2 linked regions of the Macaca fascicularis genome follow. The protein of the gene in region 1 interacts with the protein of each later gene in a pairwise test. Links are inferred from orthologs where the notes say so. Each region holds a gene or a part of one and is shown on either strand. Other genes may lie near its edges.

The links. The genes of interacting proteins can lie anywhere in the genome.
Region 2: the proteins of MAPK3 (region 1) and DCC interact in a two-hybrid assay, tested with the Homo sapiens proteins (2 studies listed by BioGRID). The link is inferred for Macaca fascicularis from reciprocal best matches to the Homo sapiens genes MAPK3 and DCC.

Annotation. Positions count from the first base shown.
Region 1 is NC_088394.1:27,975,691-27,979,309, reverse strand, and holds part of MAPK3 (mitogen-activated protein kinase 3), read right to left. Parts: intron 1,553-3,619; coding exon 1,363-1,552; intron 1,180-1,362; coding exon 1,063-1,179; intron 802-1,062; coding exon 687-801; intron 304-686; coding exon 172-303; intron 22-171; coding exon 1-21.
Region 2 is NC_088392.1:37,292,748-37,296,498, forward strand, and holds the start of DCC (netrin receptor DCC), read right to left. Parts: upstream 2,643-3,751; 5' UTR 2,262-2,642; coding exon 2,111-2,261; intron 1-2,110. UniProt on the Homo sapiens protein: Receptor for netrin required for axon guidance. Mediates axon attraction of neuronal growth cones in the developing nervous system upon ligand binding. Its association with UNC5 proteins may trigger signaling for axon repulsion.

The DNA.
Region 1 (3,619 bases):
TCCGGTCCAGCAGGTCAAGGGCTATAGAAGGGCAGGAGTCAGGGGTCACAGGGAAGACTGGAGAAGCTCCCAGAAGCATCACTTTGCCTGTCTCCTCCAGCTGCTGCTGGGCTCCCGTACCCTCCATGGCACCCAGGGTTTATCCCACACCCGTCCTCATGTCTCTCAAACCTTTGGAGTCTGACTTGGGGAAAAGCTTGGCCCAAGCCACCTTGGTCTTGGAGGGCAGAGACTGTAGGTAGTTTCGGGCCTTCATGTTGATGATACAATTCAGGTCCTCCTGGGATGGGGAGCCCAGGATGCCTGTGGATAAGGAGGTGACTTGGTAAATGATCACCTCCTTCTTTCTGGGAACAGAACAGGCAACAAGGCAAGAACAAGACCCCCAGCCCAGCAACCCATGCCAATCCCTCAGTTACCTCCTAGTCATTAGCATGGTGGTGCAGAGCAAGGGGGCTGGATTCAGGCAGACCGAGGCTCAAATCCTAGGTCTGGTGCCTCCTTAGGTGTGGGACTTAGACTTGCTTTTCCCATCTATCCAATGGGGATAATATCTATACCTCATTGAGATACCATGAGATGCTGGAGGCGCCCCACACGTGGTGGTATCCCTGACTTGGACTCTTGAGAAATCTCACCTTGGAGAAGGTAATCATCCCCCACTCAGCCAGCCGGGCCTCCCTCACCCAGAATGTGGTTGAGCTGATCCAGGTAGTGCTTGCCAGGGAAGATGGGCCGGTTAGAGAGCATCTCAGCCAGAATGCAGCCCACAGACCAGATGTCGATGGACTTGGTATAGCCCTGGGAGAGAGGAGGAAGTGGTGGGCTCCTGGGCCAGCCTCAACAGGGTCCTGTTTCTACACCAAGCCACCATCTCCAAGTTAGATCCAACACCAGGCAGAAGGCAGAGGCCTGGAGGGCTCAATGCTCAGCTTCCTTGCAGAGCCCAAGGCCCAGAGGGTGGAATTCCTGTGTCATGGGGGTCGGTATCTGGCTCGGAGGTAGCTCCAGGGCTTCCTGGGACCTGGTCCCTTCCCTTCAGGAGTGGGCAGCCCCTCCTACCTTGGAGTTCAGCATGATCTCTGGGGCCCGGTACCAGCGTGTAGCCACATACTCCGTCAGGAAGCCGGTGTGGTCATGCTCAGGATCGGCAATCCGGGCCAGGCCGAAATCGCAAATCTGGAATCAGACCAAGCTGCTAAGCTCGGTGCTCAAGGCCTCTGCAGCTTAAGCAGTCACGCCCCCTTGTCTTTGCCTCCACTGTTCCCCTTGCTTGCAATGTTCTCCTGCCCAAGGCTTCTACTGGTCACCTGGAAGCCCCAGACCCTGGGGGAGGAGGGGACAGGTGCCCAACCCTCTGACCTTAAGGTCGCAGGTGGTGTTGATGAGCAGGTTGGAGGGCTTTAGATCCCGGTGGAGCACATTAGCGGAGTGGATGTACTTGAGGCCCCGCAGGATCTGGTAGAGGAAGTAGCAGATGTGGTCATTGCTCAGTTGCTGGCTTTTCAGCAACTTGTACAGGTCAGTCTCCATCAGGTCCTGCACAATGTAGCTGAGGATGGTTCCGGAGACCCCCGGGGAGGGGGCAGCGGGAGGCACTTGGTTAAGGAAAACAGGCTCTGAAGGCGAGGCTGCACATCTCCTCCAGCCAGGGCCCCTGGGACTCAATAGATCTGCCAACCTGCACCACCAGCTGGGCAAGCTGCTGCCGTTACCCAGCGGCAGGGCTCTGAGCCTCTGTCGCGTCACCGTTGCTGATCCTGAGCAAGGGGCTTCACTTCTGTGGCCTCAGTTTCCCTACCGGGGAAACAGGGATAATAATAAACTGTGGGAGGCCGGAGAACTTCACAGTTAAGAGCAGCAACTTGGGCCAGGAGTGGTGGGTCACGCCTGTAATCCCAGCACTTTGGGAGGCTGAGGCGGGAGGATCGCTTGAGGCCAGGAGTTTGAGACCACCAGCCTGGGCAACATGGCAAAACTCTGTCTCTACTGGTAATACCAAAATTAACTGGGGACAGTGGCATGTGCCTGTAATCCCAGCTACTCGGGAGGCTGCAACACGAGAATCACTTGAACCCGGGAGACAGATGTAGTGAGCCGAGATCATGTCACTGTACTCCAGCCTGGATGATAGAGTGAGACTCTGTTTCAAAAATAAATAAATAAATAAATTAAAAAAAGAAAACTACAAAAAGAGCAGCAACTCTGGACTTAACCCATGGAAGTCTGAAATCTCCTCTCTACTACTTACTGGCTTTAGGAGCTCAACCTGTCTGTGCCTCAACTTTCTCATCTGGTATGTAGGGGAAATAATGTGTTTTTTGTTTGTTTGTTTTCTTTTTATTTTATTTATTTATTTTTTTTGAGACGGAGTCTCGCTCTGTCACCCAGGCTGGAGTGCAGTGGCCGGATCTCAGATCACTGCAAGCTCCGCCTCCCGGGTTCACGCCATTCTCCTGCCTCAGCCTCCCGAGTAGCTGGGACTACAGGCGCCCGCCACCTTGCCCGGCTAAGTTTTTTGTATTTTTAGTAGAGACGGGGTTTCACCGTGTTAGCCAGGATGGTCTCGATCTCCTGACCTCGTGATCCGCCCATCTCGGCCTCCCAAAGTGCTGGGATTACAGGCTTGAGCCACCGCGCCCGGCCTGTTTGTTTTCTTTTTGTGGAGACGGGCTATTGCTATGTTGCCCAGGCAGGTCTTGAACTCATGGGTTCAAGTGTTCCTTCCACCTCGGCCTCCCAAAGTGCTGGAAATTACAGGTGCGAGCCATGAAATAATGGTTCTTTTGAGGGTGGTTGTGAAGACTAGATGAGATGGCGCATGTAAAACTGTCAGCCCAGTGCTAGGCAAGTTGTGAGTGCTAGGCAAACATGAACTATTATTACTAATATCAATGCCTGAGTCACATGGCTGTTGAGGGAGTTAAATGAGATAATGTATGAACACCATCTGGCATGCAATAAATGTTTGCTTAAAAATAAATGCCTGCCTTATGGGAATGGTTTGTGCAAGAAAAATGAGGAGACACTCCCAATAGCACACTCCCACTCAAAGAAGAGTGCTTGGCCATACCTCAGAAGATGGAGGAGTAAAATGTCTTTTTCTATTTGAAGATAAAACAAAGCTTATGCGTAAATAAATAAATAAATCCACAAATGCCGTTTGGCTTGTCTCTGGAAAAATAAGTCAGGGCTGTCTTTTAGAATCTGCCTTGAGGCCAGGTGCAGTGGCTCACACCTGTAATCCCAGCACTTCAGGAGGCCAAGATGGGTTGAAGACCTGAGGTCAGGGGTTCGAGGCCAGCCTGGCCAACAGGGCAAAACCCTGTCTCTACTGAAAATACAAAAATTATCTGGGCGTGGTGGCGGGCGCCTGTAGTCCCAGCTACTTGGAAGGCTGAGGCAGGAGAATAGCTTGAACCTGGGAGGTGGAGGTTGCCGTGAGCTGAGATCCAGCCACTGCACTCCAGCCTGGGTGACAGAGGGAGACTCCATCTCAAAAAGGAAAAAAAAGAAAATAAGAATCTGCCTTGAAAGGGTCTTCAGAGGATATGTGGACCAGCCCTGCTGTTTTAGAGCTGGGGAGGCCCAGCGAGACGCAGTGACTTGCTTCAGACCA
Region 2 (3,751 bases), on another chromosome or scaffold:
GGCCTTGAAGCCCAGCCCTAATACTTAAAAGCAAACAAATCAAACACCCCAATCAAAACGCATAACCATTTTGGCCATTCTTTTCCTAATAAAATATTTTCCCACATTTTTTACATGAGATGGACAGATATTCCATGGCCAGCACAATCAGATATATCCAAAGCCACCTACAATTAACAGTTTGCTAGATGAAAGCAAATACAGATGTAGAGGTTTAATTGGAATAAAATATACAAATTCAAAGGTAGAGTCACAGAGTCCATACCACTGGCAGGCTCTAATGGCAATGGCTTCTATTATTACTTCAGTGACAGCCACCCTGTGTGAAAGGGCCAAAGAGTCATACACACAGCTATAGCAACTGTGAGCGGCATCAGAAGAGTCAAAGTTAGATCCCCAAGGAAATTAATATATGCCTAGGGTAGCACTCTAATGGCAATTTATCACATGAAAGAAAAGGCCAACAGAAAACTGCTATGCTCTCTTTCATAGCTGATGGGAGCCTAGGAATGAAAGCCATTTATGCACACAGCAGCAATATAGTGTTACGTTCCCCACAATGAGGGTGGAATTATCTGTGCAGTCAGCGAATGTTCCCCAGGTATTTTCTGTGTGTGAGGACCTGCTCTAGGTAAGATTTCACCTGTACATGAATAAATGGAAATTGCCACCAATGCCATACAGATAGATGCTATAAGCCAGTGATTCTCAGTGTGATCTCCAGAATGCAGCATCAGATCTCCTGGGAATTTAGAAGTATGCATTTTGGGAGCTCTTCCCCAGAATATTAAATCAGAAATTCTAATAGTGGGGCCCAGAAATCACTGTTTTACACACTCCCCACATAATTTTCATGCAAGCACAAGTTTGAGAATCGCTACTATAAACATTTATAAAAGGAAAAGAAGATATATATATAATCCCTTGTGATCATCCCCATTCATTGAGAGGTGGCTGCAATTAGCAAAATGAAGTAACTTTTTTCCTAAAAGAAAATACCTTTCTATACACAGAAGCATTTATTAATATATTCAATCTGGCAAGTATTTATTGAGTAACTGCTTGGTATTGCTCCAATCATCAGCTAAGGAAAAATTAACACAACATAGGCCCTCTCTTAGAGGATCACACAGCCTCGTGGGACAATAACTATGCCTCCCTTTCCATTTCAGGCATTTATTTAATGTGTTTTTAGTTACTGTTCATTAAATTGAGATGACCCAACCGTTATGAAACAACTGCTTGTTTCAACTTACTGATTTTTAAATGAAAATTTACCAGTGTTTGTCATTCATTACAGTATAATGCACCATTCTATTTTATTGAAACTTTTCTATAATGAAATAAAAAGGAAACTGCTCTGTTGATTAAATGTTAATCCCAATGAGAATTGTAAAAGCTACAGAAATTAATATTGAACCAGAGAGTCTTTTCCTAACAAGGGATGGAGATGCTTAGGCCACCTCGGGACTAAATCACAGGGCGACTTTCAGGAACTAACAATCATCTGTTAATTAACCTCTAGGTTTCCCCTGTAAAGGGGTCACAAATGAGGTTTGGAGGAGCTAGTTGGCAGATTGTAAAGCTGAAAATAAGCATCCTATGAGAAAATTGATTGTCAGGAAAATTAGGAGGAGCTCAAATTATTGATTTTTTTTTTTTTCGAATTTGCTTGAAGCCCTAGCTTCATCAAACGTTTGAAGTCTTTTCGGGGGTGAGGGTAGGGGTGGTGGTGCAGGTTTTTCCAATGTTATTTTATTATTATTGAAGTTCACAAATCAGTAGCACTTTATTGCCCAAATAGCATGCAGAATAGGGAGGCATTTATTTTCTTTTCTACTTTAAAGGGAAATGCATAGAGAACCCCAGGAAGGATTTACAGTTTGCCTGGAATCATACAACTCATCAGCCTCAGTATTGGTGCTTGCATTTGATAGTGTGTTTCCTGGGCCAACAGAGGAGAACCGTTTTCCTTCCTCAGAATGCACTGAAAGCTGGCCTCTGAATTCTCATTAGAACTCAGCAGGGAGGGTGGCCTGAAGCTTAACATTTTCTATCTAAAGGTATATCCTGACTTATGTGAATCTGTGGAAAGGTTTAGAAATCTTACCTTTTCTCTGAGAGGCCAGAGAGCTCTGGGTTGTGGAATAGTTTGAGCTCTGGATTGTAGAATAGGTTGCATTCAACAGAAGAGTAGATAACCAGGCAGGAATCCAGGTAGATGATGGAAATGAAAGGCCTTGGACTTCAGGGGGCGCCATGACCCATAATAGATATGATGCCCCAAATCTGGGAGAATAACATTGGTTCTGATTTGCCAGAATAAGAAGGCAGATCTCAGACTCAGAATAGCTGGTAGAGAACTCCGAGAATTATCCGTTTGACTGGCTTCTCAACTGGACTCGATATCTGCTTAGAATCACACAGAGAGTTTGTGCCTTTAAAACTGTCACTCCAGCTGATAAATCTTCTCCTGATTAAATTACTGGCCTGAGTATCTTTGGTTTTCCTGAAGGGATCAGGGGACTCCTGTTACCAACCATGAAGCTGTTTAAAATTTTCTTCATCCTTTTGAGGGTGGCTGCAAAAGCCCACAGCCCACTAAACTGCAACAAAACCAAACCCATATACCCAGCAATACTGCAAGCAAAGCCTTGGTTCTTTCTCTCCAACCAAAACAAACCACTACTTGTTTGAGTGGCCTTGTGACCATAATTGCTGGATGTATAATAGTATTATTGTCTTTAGACACAATAAACACCGCTTTCCTAGCCAATAGTAGATTTCAATCTAAACATCAAAATACTCTGTTTTGGTCCATCTTTCATTGTGTTCCCCTGAACCTGCCTGCCTTTAATTGTGGTGTTAGTCCTCTGGAAGCTCAGGTTGGCAACCTCACTGAACAGAAAATAAACACTAAGGATTGTTGTCTATTTAACTTCATCACTAGCTTTGGCTTGCATGGTTGATAGATGTTAGAGGGTACTGTTTTTCCCCTGTCCCGTTTCCCCACTTATTTTATTTCTGATGACTTACCCGCAGGCTGTGTGTCTGGGACTTGGAACTGGGAATAGTCTCTTTCTCAAAGTGAGTTGCCAATCTGTCATGCATCCCTGCAGCTCTCAAAGTTTTTCATTAACTATTTTTTAGATAAACCTTCACTTGCAACAGCTCATTTTAGCTGCTCTCTGTTTGATGCCATTGGCTCAAGCCCAAACCACAGGTTAAAAACATGTATTATTAGAGCTCCTCTGGTTTCAGCTTCCTTGAAGACCAGAGTTTACTGGGAAACAGTATAATTTGACTAAGCCTAGCACAGGTGTTCATCATTAGGATGGGGATCTGGAAGCTGCAAGAAATAATTCTTACGGGTCTGACCTCCAAAACCTGCTGCCCACTGACTTATGCTTTTAAAAAAATTAGAAGTAGCAAGGAAAATAATTACAAATCTGAGGTTGGGTGTGGTGGCCCACACCTGTAATCTCAGTGATTTGGGAGGCCAAGGCAGGAGGATCACCTGAGACCAAGAGTTGGAAACCAGGCCGGGCACTGTAGCAATACCTCTGCCTCTTAAAAAAAAAAAAAAAAAAAAAAAAAAAAAAAAAAAAACACTTTAAAAAATTAGCTAGGTATGGTAGTGAACACATGTAGTCCTAGCTACTTGGAGGCTAAGGTGGGAGAATCCCTTGAGCCCAGGAGTTCAAGGCTGTAGTGGGCTGTGATTGCACTTCTGCACTCCAGCCTGGGAAAC